2 linked regions of the Arabidopsis thaliana genome follow. The protein of the gene in region 1 interacts with the protein of each later gene in a pairwise test. Each region holds a gene or a part of one and is shown in the gene's direction. Other genes may lie near its edges.

Region 1 (7,587 bases):
AACGGGTTTTATTTTGGAATTGGGTTATATGGTGGATGTATTTGAATCAATATTTATAAAATTTTAAAATATTATTAATATGCTGTTTAAGTAGGGATTAAAACTTCAGTTTTTTAACAATTATCTCATGAATTCGTGGTATAGTGTTATTTAATAACAATTATAAACTGTAAAATAAAAATATTTTATAAAAATAAAATTTGCAAGTTTTAATATATATTACTTTTAAAAAATAAATCGTCCCGCAGTATATCACATGTTAAAATCTAGTTTATATATCATTTTGATACTTTTTTAAAACAGAGACCGGTGCAGTTTAGTAGTTACGTGGATACCAAATATATCATACAAGTTAATATAGAAATTAAGAATCAGATACGACGTTCCAAACAAATACTTAAACGTGTGTAGACCTTAGGAAACATTGCCAACTGGCAACTTTGTATTATACTACCAAAATCTAGATATCTATAAATCTAGAGGTGTGTATGATAATGAATATTGAATAGTATATGTTTGATATTCAATGTTATACTATTCAGATATCAAATACCTGGATGTATATATGTCAACTGAAAACAAATATAATTCTCTTAGTATGAAGACTATTTACATCTAAATCATATGAATAACTAATTAACTTTTTCTTCTTTTTTTTGTTAATTTTCAAAAACTATGTCATTTGTTATGTATTACATAATCACTTAAGATATATATAAAAAAAAATGCCCTAACGAATTTCGTCCACAACATATGAATCGAGCTAGCTATTTAGATATTTCTATTATGCATATGATGAATCATAGATTGATAAACATATTATATATTTTTTGAAAAATGGTAGTTCAATTTCTTTTGACACTAATTAAACATGAAAGAGACATGTCCTTCGGGTGTAAGAATACCTAAACAGACAAAGCAGAGAGTCATAAATATCTTATGATTATAAATGGAAGAGACATATAAAAAATGTTTATTGTGTACTAATCCCTTATATAGTTTATGTTGGACAACTCCATATTAATTTAGGTTTACTTATATTTCGGTTATGAAACTCTAAAAAGTATTGTCTCCCACTATCCATTAGGACAAACTGGCAAAGGCAACCACCTCAACAACATCAAAGAACAAGAATTATTCAACTGTTCTACAAAACTATACTAGTACTATTACAGTTGTTTGTAGCATATACTTTTCCAAATAGAATTTTATACGATTTTCTTTTCCATATTTTTTGAAAATGACAAGTGATATGATTTGAGAAAAAACAAAAAAAAAAAACAAATTTATACAGTGAGGCCTGCAAGACCATAAAACAAACTAAAGCCGTTCATTAAGGTTCCATTAATTGGGCCTATATTTTTCTCGTTATATTATGAGCCTGTTATAGGCCCATTAGTAATAATTTATCGGGTTATGAAGTAAATTTTCAGATAATTAAGGGTCTCAAGTATAAATATCTTAAATAACAGACCCATCTACCTGGAAATATGAGTATTTGGGCAGAGAGGGGTGTTTTCGTAAATTCAAGTACATACTTTATTTTTATTTTTTTGCTTTCTTCGCCTTTTGCTCCCTCCTCGAGAATTTCCGATCGTGCTTTCCTCAAAAGCATTTCTGTTTCTCGTCGTCGGAGCCCGACGACAGATCTCTGAATCGCTGGAGAAACAGTAAGTAAATCTACAGATCTCGTTTCTTCGAACTTCTTCTTCGTATACTATTTGTTTGTATCGTTCCTTCGTTGTGCATTGATGTTCTTAATGATTACTAGAATCTAAGTCAGAAGTTACCTCTATTTGTTCTTCTTCTATATTTGAACTAGATTTCGTTCTAGCGTCGAACAAACTCCTCGTTTTCTTTGATTCGCATTGCTGGTGATTTTCCTGAATTTCGAGATTTAGCGAGACGTGTCTCGAGTTCTCTTGTGTTGACGGGATTTTTCTTATCTGGAGAACTGATAATAGTTTCATGACACTGTCACTGGTCTGTTGAATTGTAGTTTAAACTTATTCCATCGGATATAGTGACTCTTAACTCTATAAGTTGCTGATTTTGTAGATGGGTTTAGTGTTATCAGGTTTATTGATGTAACAACGAGTTTACAAACTTTGCTATTTAGGGATCTGTAGGAATTCGTTTTTTTGGGGGCTCAAATTGTTGGAAATAGTTGCTTAGCTATTCACAATCTAAATGTGATTTGGGAAATCTGCAACATATGTTATTACTATGGAAGAGGTTACTCTATATAGTTACTAAATTATCAGCATGGTTTCTGACCATTATAGAATTCTTTGCTTGTGGTTTATTTGTTTGAATCAAAGTGGTTTCATTCAGAGACAGCGTTGTAGATTTTGATTATCTCTGTAATGTATGATGTGAAAAGTTACGCCACTTTCTATCTTATTAGCTCTTGAAATGCATCTATTATCTGTTTTAAAATAAGATTTTTTAAATTTAATTTGTTTTTTTTTGCCAGTAATGATTGAGTTTGGCCTCTATCTGTGAAGGGTATATGCTCCGGCTGTATCTACTTTATATTCTGCCAGGAAGATTGTGAGCATTGAAGTGCCTTGGGCTCTGGCTGAAGATTTGAGCAGATTAAATGGGTCGCCTAAAGTTGCATTCTGGAATCAAGGCCATTGAGGAAGAACCTGAGGACTTTGAGTGTACTGATTCAAGTAATACAACCACTTTAGCATGCATGATTGATACGGAAATTGCTGCTGTTTTAGCGGTTATGAGAAGAAATGTAAGATGGGGAGGTCGATACATGTCTGGTGATGATCAACTAGAACACTCGTTGATTCAGTCACTTAAAGCTCTTAGAAAACAGGTGTTCTCATGGAACCAGCCGTGGCATACAATTAGTCCCATGTTGTATCTTCAGCCCTTTCTTGATGTGATACGGTCAGATGAAACTGGAGCACCAATAACCAGCATTGCTTTGTCATCAGTTTACAAGATCTTAAACCTGAATGTAATTGATCAAAATACTGCGAATATTGAAGACGCTATGCACTTGGTAGTTGATTCTGTGACAAGCTGTCGATTTGAGGTGACAGATCCTGCATCAGAAGAGGTTGTGCTAATGAAGATACTTCAGGTTCTTCTAGCATGTATGAAAAATAAAGCATCAGTTATGCTAAGCAATCAGCATGTATGCACTGTCGTCAACACTTGTTTTCGTGTTGTCCACCAAGCAGGAATGAAAGGTGAGTTATTGCAACGAGTAGCTCGCCACACGATGCATGAATTAGTGAGGTGTATCTTCTCGCATCTCCCAGATGTTGAAAGAACAGAAACTACACTTGTCAACAGAGCTGGTAGCATCAAACAAGAGGTATGGTATTGGGGTCCTTGTTATTTCCTTTCTAGTTGGTTACAAGTCAGTTTGGTCCTGTAGGATGTTCTGAGATTAAATAAAAACATGATACTACAGTAGCTAGGTTCCTTTACTTGCAACCTAGAAAATTGAAAAAGCAGAGAAACTATTTAAATAGAAATGATAAAGAGCCATAGATTTGGCGATTTGTTAAATATAGGTCTGCAACTTACTCTTGAACTTCAAAATTATGTAGACGCTTGTTTTCATTCAGATAGGAAAATATATTTTTCCTAGTGCGAGTCAAAGATCACTACTAGAGAATTTAGACCAGAAACTCTGTAGATAGTGAATAATTAATTTCATACGGAATAATTTTCCCAACAAATGCTGGATTTTAAGCCTTCTTCCCTTGATTCATATATCACTAATTATTGTACAATAATTAGTGATGGTGTTTTGCATGGTCGCAGAAAGCTGGAGTAGACAGTGATTATGCCATTGTGAGTAAACCAGTCGAGGATGGAAATGCTAATTCCGAGTATGATGTTGAAAATTCTATGGCAACTTTTGCAACTGGTGCTCAAAGTTTGATGGATGATGGACCAGTTGGCCCTGGAAGCAGAAAGCCGGCTTCTCCATATGATTTGCATATAATGACAGAGCCATACGGAGTCCCAAGTATGGTGGAAATTTTTCACTTCTTGTGCTCTTTGTTAAATGTGGTCGAACATGTTGGTATGGGATCCCGATCAAACACCATAGCATTTGACGAAGATGTGCCTCTGTTTGCGTTGAACTTGATCAACTCAGCCATTGAATTGGGTGGATCGTCCATCCGCCATCACCCAAGATTGTTAAGCCTAATTCAAGATGAGTTATTTCGTAACTTGATGCAGTTCGGATTGTCGATGAGCCCCCTGATTCTTTCGATGGTTTGCAGCATTGTGCTCAATTTGTATCAACATCTACGAACTGAACTCAAGTTGCAGCTTGAGGCATTCTTTTCATGTGTGATTCTAAGGCTTGCTCAAGGAAAATATGGGCCCTCGTATCAGCAGCAAGAGGTTGCTATGGAGGCTCTTGTGAATTTTTGTAGGCAGAAGAGTTTTATGGTTGAAATGTATGCCAATCTCGATTGTGATATAACTTGCAGCAACGTGTTTGAGGAGCTGTCTAATCTTCTCTCGAAGAGCACATTTCCTGTGAACTGTCCTTTGTCTGCAATGCACATTCTTGCTCTGGATGGCCTAATCGCTGTTATTCAGGGAATGGCCGAGAGGATAAGTAATGGATTGACTGGTTTGGATTTGGGTCCTGTCCATCTTGATGAGTACACGCCTTTCTGGATGGTTAAGTGTGACAACTATAGTGATCCAAATCACTGGGTTTCATTTGTCCGCAGGAGAAAATATATCAAGAGAAGGTTAATGATTGGAGCAGATCATTTTAACAGGGATCCAAAGAAGGGGTTAGAGTTTCTCCAAGGCACACATCTTTTGCCTGACAAACTCGATCCCCAAAGTGTTGCTTGCTTTTTTAGATATACTGCTGGGCTTGATAAGAACCTTGTTGGGGATTTTCTTGGAAATCATGACGAATTTTGTGTTCAAGTTCTCAATGAGTTTGCTGGGACTTTCGATTTCCAGTACATGAATCTGGATACTGCACTCCGACTCTTCTTGGAAACCTTCAGGTTGCCTGGAGAATCCCAGAAAATACAGAGAGTGCTTGAGGCGTTCTCTGAAAGATACTATATGCAATCTCCTGAGATTCTGGCCAACAAGGATGCTGCTCTTGTGTTATCATACTCTATTATCATGCTTAACACTGATCAGCACAACGTTCAAGTAAAGAAAAAGATGACAGAAGAGGATTTCATTCGCAATAATAGGCATATCAATGGAGGAAATGATCTACCTCGAGAATTCTTGTCTGAACTCTTTCACTCCATCTGCAACAATGAGATCAGGACTACTCCAGAACAAGGTGCAGGCTTTCCTGAAATGACTCCCAGCCGTTGGATTGATTTGATGCATAAATCAAAGAAAACTGCTCCATATATTCTGGCTGATTCAAGGGCTTATCTTGACCATGATATGTTTGCTATCATGTCTGGTCCAACCATTGCTGCCATATCAGTCGTTTTTGACCATGCAGAACATGAAGACGTTTACCAGACATGCATCGATGGATTCTTGGCTATAGCTAAAATTTCTGCCTGTCATCATCTTGAAGATGTGCTTGATGATCTGGTTGTCTCTCTCTGCAAATTCACAACTCTGTTGAATCCATCATCTGTTGATGAACCCGTTCTTGCATTTGGTGATGACGCAAAAGCAAGGATGGCTACTATCACAATTTTTACCATTGCAAACAAATATGGAGATTATATACGTACGGGTTGGAGGAACATATTGGACTGTATCTTACGGCTACATAAACTTGGACTTCTGCCAGCTCGTGTAGCCAGTGATGCAGCTGATGAATCAGAACATTCATCTGAGCAAGGGCAAGGAAAGCCCCTCGCGAATTCCCTATCTTCAGCTCATCTACAGTCAATGGGAACTCCGAGGAGATCTTCCGGATTGATGGGAAGATTTAGTCAGCTTCTTTCACTTGATACAGAAGAGCCAAGATCACAGCCTACTGAGCAACAGCTTGCAGCTCATCAACGAACACTTCAAACAATTCAGAAATGTCACATTGACAGCATATTTACCGAAAGCAAGTTTCTACAAGCTGAATCTTTGTTGCAGCTTGCGCGTGCTCTCATTTGGGCTGCAGGTAGGCCACAGAAAGGAACCAGTTCTCCAGAGGATGAGGATACTGCGGTTTTCTGTCTGGAATTGCTTATTGCAATCACTCTAAACAACAGAGACAGGATCGTTCTCCTATGGCAAGGCGTCTATGAACATATAGCTACAATTGCTCAGTCAACGGTGATGCCCTGCAACTTAGTGGATAAAGCTATTTTTGGTCTACTTCGGATCTGCCAGAGACTACTTCCTTATAAAGAAAGCCTAGCTGATGAGCTTTTGAGATCTCTTCAGCTTGTGCTGAAACTGGATGCACGTGTTGCAGATGCCTATTGTGAGCAAATTGCAATTGAAGTCAGCCGTCTTGTGAAAGCCAATGCTAATCACATCAGGTCTCAGGCGGGTTGGAGAACAATCACATCCTTACTCTCCATCACAGCGCGGCACCCAGAAGCTTCTGAATCAGGATTTGATGCCGTATCCTTTGTTATGTCTGAAGGAACTCACCTGTATCCAGCCAATTATGTACTCTGTGTTGATGCTGCAAGACAGTTTGCTGAATCCCGCGTGGGACAGTCCGAACGCTCTATCCGTGCCCTTGATCTAATGGGAGATTCATTAGAATTTTTGGCTAAATGGGCTCTCTCAGCTAAGGAAAACATGGGAGAAGAAGATTTCGGGAAGATGTCACAAGATATTGGGGAAATGTGGTTAAGGCTTGTTCAAGGACTAAGAAAAGTGTGTTTAGACCAGAGGGAGGATGTCCGAAACCACGCTTTACAGTCATTACAGAAGTGTTTAGGCGGAGTAGACGGAATCAACCTAGCTCATAGCATGTGGTCTCAATGCTTTGACAAAGTAATCTTCACGGTTTTGGATGACTTACTTGAGATAGCTGCTGGGTCACAGAAAGACTACCGAAACATGGAAGGCACATTGCTTCTCGCAATCAAACTTCTCTCCAAAGTGTTTCTTCAGCAACTCCAAGAGCTATCTCAGTTATCAACCTTCTGCAAGCTATGGCTCGGTGTTCTAACTCGAATGGAGAAATACATGAAAGTGAAAGTAAGAGGCAAAAAAAGCGACAAGCTACAAGAATCAGTACCAGAGCTTCTCAAAAACATATTGCTGGTGATGAAGACGAAAGGCGTGCTATTGCAAAGAAGTGCTCTTGGTGGAGATAGCTTATGGGAGCTAACATGGCTTCATGTGAATAACATTGCACCGTCTATGCGACTGGAGCTATTCCCTGATCAAGAATCCTCACAACTTGGTGATGATGAAACCGTATCGAATGGCTTATCTTCTCCTGAAAACACAACTGGTTCGTGACCTTACAAGTGAGATCATTAGGTGAGTTTCTTTCGAATATCCATATAAGTACTGTGAAAGTGAAAGCTTCTTATGTAACACCTCTCTACGTTTTTTTTTGTAATATATAAGTCTTTCTAATTCAGAGACTCGTATTAATTAAGCAAGTTTCTTAATTACGACTTTGTTAATCAC
Region 2 (7,505 bases), on another chromosome or scaffold:
AAAATCATTCCCAGATCCATCGATATGAAATTGTATAGAAAAAATGGTATTCGATCCAAGTTTATTGTCTTCTATTTTTCTTAGGTTAATTTCACTTTATTCCAGATTCATTGTTTGTTTTTTCTTTCTCGGAAGAGCACAATGTGAGTTTCACTGGCCTCTGTTATAAACATATATAGAAATCTGTAACAAAAATCATTACTAAAATTCTGTGACATGTGCAGCGATCAAAGAATCAATAGCGGAAAAAGAAACTACACTGCATTCATCTATGACTGAAAGCTTCTGATCAAGCCATGAAATTAAGGTATCCCAAACACGTATCTTCTCTATGTTTATCAATCTTGCTTTAAGTTCTAATTCTGCATATTTCAAAGGAACCATACAAGTGTTCCTAAAATCCATTTGAATATTCAAAAACTTCTCTCAAATATCATGTAGTTATAGAAGCTACTGTCTCTAAGCGCACGAGAGAAAGCTACACAACCCACGTCAGTTTCCATCTACACATATAAGGTAATAATAATATTTTCATGTATCTTTAATAATAGCTCTATGTTTTTTTCTGTATTTTTCATTATAAAACTCATAACTATGTTATCATTTAATATGGTACTAATTTAATGGGATTGATTTACTATTGCCTCAAACATGTAATAATTTAATGATTTTTTGTTTTTAACGTTTTTAGAAATTCATGAGCATTTTAAATTTGTGGTTAGGTCATAACAATTTGCTATTACAAAAAAAAGAAACACTCTAAATAATATAAAAAATAGTTTACCGTATAATACTAGTAGTAAATAAATAATTTGATTGTTATTCATAAATTTTGAATTCTAAAATCTCCTGAATCAACTCATGCAATTGTCTTAAGAATTACACGTGGATAAATCATGGGCTTATGAGTCAGGCCCATTTAACCGGGGTATTTTCGTAGTTAAGAGACTAGAATGGTGGGTATTTCAGGTAAAAGGTCTATGGGGCCAGATCTGCGCTTTGTCGCGATGTCATTATCGCCAAAGATATGCGATAGCGACTCTCGTACAAAGTCTCTCACTCACCTATATTTTTTGTTTTCTTATATTTCAACAAAAAAACGTTTTATTTTCCTTTTGGTGTAAGTAAAAAAACAAAACAAAACGTTTTATTTCTAAAGTTCAGAAAACTTATTTATACCAAGGAAAAAATAGATAATAAATTTTGAGAAGTTGGTGACTATATATTACTTCACTTATTCAAGAAATTTAAACATGGTAAATGTTACTTTAAATGTTAAATGATGTATAAGAAATGTAATGAAATTGAATAAATGTAGTTTTAAAGATGTTTTAATTAGTAAGACAAACCTAGTTAGTGTCACAATAATTATATTTTTTTTTTTGTCATCCAAAATTATTAAAGCTCAAGTAAACCAATCCTGAGGGATATTATTTACAAATGTGATATGATGCGGTTCGGTGCGGATCTTCCGCGCCAAATTATACGCTTTTATATTAGCATTATAAAAAATTATAGATAAAGAGAAGTTTGTGAATTCTTCATTGTCGCTTTGCAATTTCTCTAAATACACAGTAAATACCGACAATTCGGTTAGAGAAAATATATCTATTTCGTATAATAATGTTAACTTTGAGGAGATTTTGGGTAAAATAATAACTTTTGTTGGATGGATCATATCATGAGCCATTAAGAAAAAGTCCAAAACTTTTCTTCTTCAAAGTTGGACTCAAGTTAGAAAAAGAAAAAAGAGCTAGAGAGATATAAAAATGAAAAGAAAGTTCATGGCAAAAAACTGATATAGACAGAGACACAGAGAGAGAGAAACGTATCTGAAGAAAATCTAAAAAATTCGATTCAATTTTTTTCTTACTTTTAAAAGCAAAAAATCTCACTAAAACAAAAGAAGAAGAAAGAAGAAAGAAAATGGAATACCTACATTTGAAGTGATGAGAAGAGATTTTGTGTATAATAATAATGCAATGTTCAATCCTCTCACAACTCATTACAGGTAACTAAAATAATTTCTCCATGTGCTTGCTTATTAGTCGTTCTTCCTAATGTTATGTTTCTCTCTGTGTTCTTTCTTTCTTTGGTCAAAGCTTTAATTTTTTTTCTATTGTTGGATTTGAGACAGTGAACATAGCTATGTTCTTGTTCCAATAATAAACAATCACGCCTGTAAAGAGCTTATGATTGATTAGTGTGTTTTTTAGTATTAATTAATTTCTCTGACAATAATTACTTAGTTTTTAATTCTTCTCTGTAAGAAACCTTTGGAAACTGAGCAAAGTTGCTTCTTTTGAGAACCATGCGTTTCTTTCTCTCTTTTGTTCTTGAATTCGCAAAAACATGTCCTTTTTCGTCTACAGGTTTCTAGGGTTTGTTTCTGTACTATAAACTATGTTTATGGTAACATTCTTAATCATAACTACACTACCAATGCTTTTATGTTATATGTATGCAAAAAAGGCTCTAACTTTTGTTTTCTTTCACTATTGTTTCTTCTTTTGTTCTCTATTGTTGTAGCTCAGATATGAACTGGGCACTCAACAATCATCAAGAAGAAGAAGAAGAGCCACGAAGAATTGAAATTTCTGATTCCGAGTCACTAGAAAACTTGAAAAGCAGCGATTTTTATCAACTGGGTGGTGGTGGTGCTCTGAATTCGTCAGAAAAGCCGAGAAAGATCGATTTTTGGCGTTCGGGGTTGATGGGTTTTGCGAAGATGCAGCAGCAGCAACAGCTTCAGCATTCAGTGGCGGTGAAGATGAACAATAATAATAATAACGATCTAATGGGTAATAAAAAAGGGTCAACTTTCATACAAGAACATCGAGCATTGTTACCAAAAGCTTTGATTCTGTGGATCATCATTGTTGGGTTTATAAGCAGTGGGATTTATCAGTGGATGGATGATGCTAATAAGATTAGAAGGGAAGAGGTTTTGGTCAGCATGTGTGATCAAAGAGCTAGAATGTTGCAGGATCAATTTAGTGTTAGTGTTAATCATGTTCATGCTTTGGCTATTCTCGTCTCCACTTTTCATTACCACAAGAACCCTTCTGCAATTGATCAGGTCAGTGTGTGCTTTATTAAAAGCTCAAAGCTTTGGTGAAATTTTTGATTCATAAATGCAAAGTTGACTTTTTTTGGAACCAGAAGTTTTTGAAATTTACTCTTTTATGTTTGGTTATTGAGTAAATGAAGGGAAATTTAGGCCTTTGCTTTACTCATTGGTTTGTGGCTAATTTTGCAGGAGACATTTGCGGAGTACACGGCAAGAACAGCATTTGAGAGACCGTTGCTAAGTGGAGTGGCTTATGCTGAAAAAGTTGTGAATTTTGAGAGGGAGATGTTTGAGCGGCAGCACAATTGGGTTATAAAGACAATGGATAGAGGAGAGCCTTCACCGGTTAGGGATGAGTATGCTCCTGTTATATTCTCTCAAGATAGTGTCTCTTACCTTGAGTCACTCGATATGATGTCAGGCGAGGTAATATAAACATTATCAGACACTTATGGTTTTGTTTTTTCGGTTAAGTATCCGACCTGCACCTCTTCTGAATTTTGGCTATCTTTTCTGCAGGAGGATCGTGAGAATATTTTGCGAGCTAGAGAAACCGGAAAAGCTGTCTTGACTAGCCCTTTTAGGTTGTTGGAAACTCACCATCTCGGAGTTGTGTTGACATTCCCTGTCTACAAGTCTTCTCTTCCTGAAAATCCGACTGTCGAAGAGCGTATTGCAGCCACTGCAGGGTAAAGTTCCCATCTGATTACTGGAGCAAACTTTTGCTTGTGATCATGTAAAAAGAGATTTTCGAGATTTCATGATTGGTTTATGTGTGTGATCATGTAAAGGAAAGAGGTTTTTTGAGATTTCAAGATTGGTTTGTGTGTAAAGTAAAGATTGATGCTTGAATTTGAAATGCAGGTACCTTGGTGGTGCGTTTGATGTGGAGTCTCTAGTCGAGAATTTACTTGGTCAGCTTGCTGGTAACCAAGCAATAGTTGTGCATGTGTATGATATCACCAATGCATCAGATCCACTTGTCATGTATGGTAATCAAGATGAAGAAGCCGACAGATCTCTCTCTCATGAGAGCAAGCTCGATTTTGGAGACCCCTTCAGGAAACATAAGATGATATGCAGGTACCACACAGAAAATCTTAAAGCTAAAATACTCTCTGATATCTAAAAACTGATATCTTGTTTGAACAATTTCGAGTGCAGGTACCACCAAAAGGCACCAATACCGTTGAATGTGCTCACAACTGTGCCATTGTTCTTTGCGATTGGTTTCTTGGTGGGTTATATACTGTATGGTGCAGCTATGCACATAGTAAAAGTCGAAGATGATTTCCATGAAATGCAAGAGCTTAAAGTTCGAGCAGAAGCTGCTGATGTCGCTAAATCGCAGTTTCTTGCTACCGTGTCTCACGAGATCAGGACACCAATGAATGGCATTCTCGGTACTACATCTTCAAACAAATTCCAGTACTGTTGCCTTTCATCTTTGGTTTCTCAAACTGCCTCAAAGATTCTGTTTTAAAAATTTTCTGCAGGAATGCTTGCTATGCTCCTAGATACAGAACTAAGCTCGACACAGAGAGATTACGCTCAAACCGCTCAAGTATGTGGTAAAGCTTTGATTGCATTGATAAATGAGGTTCTTGATCGCGCCAAGATTGAAGCTGGAAAGCTGGAGTTGGAATCAGTACCATTTGATATCCGTTCAATATTGGATGATGTCCTTTCTCTATTCTCTGAGGAGTCAAGGAACAAAAGCATTGAGGTAAGTTTTCAATCCAAGGAATAAAGATACATCTATTTGGAGTTGTGGCTGCTAATTTCTTGATTTCAAATTTGGCAGCTCGCGGTTTTCGTTTCAGACAAAGTACCAGAGATAGTCAAAGGAGATTCAGGGAGATTTAGACAGATAATCATAAACCTTGTTGGAAATTCGGTTAAAGTTAGTCCCTATTTCAATCTCTGCCTTTGTTGGCAGCTTGTGTATATGATTTTTGTTTGATCAAGATGTTGTCTTTTTGACAGTTCACAGAGAAAGGACATATCTTTGTTAAAGTCCATCTTGCGGAACAATCAAAAGATGAATCTGAACCGAAAAATGCATTGAATGGTGGAGTGTCTGAAGAAATGATCGTTGTTTCCAAACAGTCAAGTTACAACACATTGAGCGGTTACGAAGCTGCTGATGGTCGGAATAGCTGGGATTCATTCAAGCATTTGGTCTCTGAGGAGCAGTCATTATCGGAGTTTGATATTTCTAGCAATGTTAGGCTTATGGTTTCAATCGAAGACACGGGTATTGGAATCCCTTTAGTTGCGCAAGGCCGTGTGTTTATGCCGTTTATGCAAGCAGATAGCTCGACTTCAAGAAACTATGGAGGTACTGGTATTGGTTTGAGTATAAGCAAGTGTCTTGTTGAACTTATGCGTGGTCAGATAAATTTCATAAGCCGGCCTCATATTGGAAGCACGTTCTGGTTCACGGCTGTTTTAGAGAAATGCGATAAATGCAGTGCGATTAACCATATGAAGAAACCTAATGTGGAACACTTGCCTTCTACTTTTAAAGGAATGAAAGCTATAGTTGTTGATGCTAAGCCTGTTAGAGCTGCTGTGACTAGATACCATATGAAAAGACTCGGAATCAATGTTGATGTCGTGACAAGTCTCAAAACCGCTGTTGTTGCAGCTGCTGCGTTTGAAAGAAACGGTTCTCCTCTCCCAACAAAACCGCAACTTGATATGATCTTAGTAGAGAAAGATTCATGGATTTCAACTGAAGATAATGACTCAGAGATTCGTTTATTGAATTCAAGAACCAACGGAAACGTTCATCACAAGTCTCCGAAACTAGCTCTATTCGCAACAAACATCACAAATTCGGAGTTCGACAGAGCTAAATCCGCAGGATTTGCAGATACGGTAATAATGAAACCGTTAAGAGCAAGCATGATTGGGGCGTGTCTGCAACAAGTTCTCGAGCTGAGAAAAACAAGACAACAACATCCAGAAGGATCATCACCCGCAACTCTCAAGAGCTTGCTTACAGGGAAGAAGATTCTTGTGGTTGATGATAATATAGTTAACAGGAGAGTAGCTGCAGGAGCTCTCAAGAAATTTGGAGCAGAAGTGGTTTGTGCAGAGAGTGGTCAAGTTGCTTTGGGTTTGCTTCAGATTCCACACACTTTCGATGCTTGCTTCATGGATATTCAAATGCCACAGATGGACGGGTAACTAAATCACAACTAATACTATTTTTGGATTATTCGGTTTTTGAATTGTTCGGTATGAAAAATTTCCCGCCAAATTATAACTGACTTGGTTTGGTTCGGATTCGGTTAAAATCTTTTATAAACTTCATTGATTCTCAGATTTGAAGCAACTCGTCAGATAAGAATGATGGAGAAGGAAACTAAAGAGAAGACAAATCTCGAATGGCATTTACCGATTCTAGCGATGACTGCGGATGTGATACACGCGACCTACGAGGAATGTCTGAAAAGTGGGATGGATGGTTACGTCTCCAAACCTTTTGAAGAAGAGAATCTCTATAAATCCGTTGCCAAATCATTCAAACCTAATCCTATCTCACCTTCGTCGTAATCCAATCTTCCGGCGAGTTTTTTTTCTCTCTCCGCAGCCGGAAGAGTGGACCGATTCTGCTGATTGATATGCATTTTGGTTTCTGTACATACAGTAGGTTCACAATCTAGAGATTTTGAAGGTTTTTTTTTCTTTCACCGAAGTAATGTAGCTTGCCATGACTAGTGTATGTTGTTAAACGACAACGTCTAAGACGACGGTTCAGTGTTGATCTTAGCGTAAGTATTAATCCCACGGGATCGTTTGTACTGTATCAGATTTGGTTAGTCGTTTAAACATTGTAATGTTCTAATAATAACTTTTCCATATATAACATCTTCTTATAACTTGAGACGAGACCATTTTGATTCATCTTTTGAGCTTGTTTAGCAACCAAATCGGTTAGCTAGTTGAACGAAGATCAGAGAAAGAGCTCAAACAACTCTTCATTAGCTATAGCTCAGTCGACGACTTGAGCTTTCAAACAACAGAAACAGAGCAAAGCTTAAAAACGACTGCGTTTTACTATTGGTTCGTCGATCTCACTAAACCGAGTGAGATAACCAAAGCCAATCAACAACCCTTTAATCGGATCTCTCGATGTAATCTATAAAGGATGAGAAGAATTAGGAACTTGTCCAAGAAGAGTATATAGAAAATATCTGACTTTTTGTTTGTTTTTTATATACTCTATCGACTTATTTTATCAGTTTCAGTAGGAACGCAACGAAATACTACAGAATGAATTTCTCCCGATTTAGGTAGAATTGGATCACCACACTGTTAGGTTCTAATTTGAAATGCCTTCCGACTAATACCAAGGATAATCATACCGTCTGCATTTCTAACTACCAAATAAATTAATTGGACCAAATCACAACTGAGAGACTTT

The links. The genes of interacting proteins can lie anywhere in the genome.
Region 2: the proteins of GN (region 1) and WOL interact in a two-hybrid assay, tested with the Arabidopsis thaliana proteins (one large-scale study listed by BioGRID).

Annotation. Positions count from the first base shown.
Region 1 is NC_003070.9:4,786,985-4,794,571, forward strand, and holds the start of GN (sec7 domain-containing protein), read left to right. Parts: upstream 1-1,565; 5' UTR 1,566-1,670; intron 1,671-2,476; 5' UTR 2,477-2,602; coding exon 2,603-3,340; intron 3,341-3,795; coding exon 3,796-7,413; 3' UTR 7,414-7,587. UniProt on the Arabidopsis thaliana protein: Activates the ARF proteins by exchanging bound GDP for free GTP. Plays a role in vesicular protein sorting. Acts as the major regulator of endosomal vesicle trafficking but is also involved in the endocytosis process.
Region 2 is NC_003071.7:362,461-369,965, reverse strand, and holds WOL (CHASE domain containing histidine kinase protein), read left to right. Parts: upstream 1-1,608; 5' UTR 1,609-1,949; coding exon 1,950-2,011; exon of another isoform or gene 2,012-2,529; coding exon 2,530-3,079; intron 3,080-3,259; coding exon 3,260-3,496; intron 3,497-3,589; coding exon 3,590-3,759; intron 3,760-3,934; coding exon 3,935-4,153; intron 4,154-4,234; coding exon 4,235-4,473; intron 4,474-4,566; coding exon 4,567-4,796; intron 4,797-4,874; coding exon 4,875-4,973; intron 4,974-5,056; coding exon 5,057-6,261; intron 6,262-6,402; coding exon 6,403-6,634; 3' UTR 6,635-6,983; downstream 6,984-7,505. UniProt on the Arabidopsis thaliana protein: Cytokinins (CK) receptor related to bacterial two-component regulators. Also binds the synthetic urea-type cytokinin thidiazuron, a potent defoliant and herbicide. Functions as a histidine kinase and transmits the stress signal to a downstream MAPK cascade.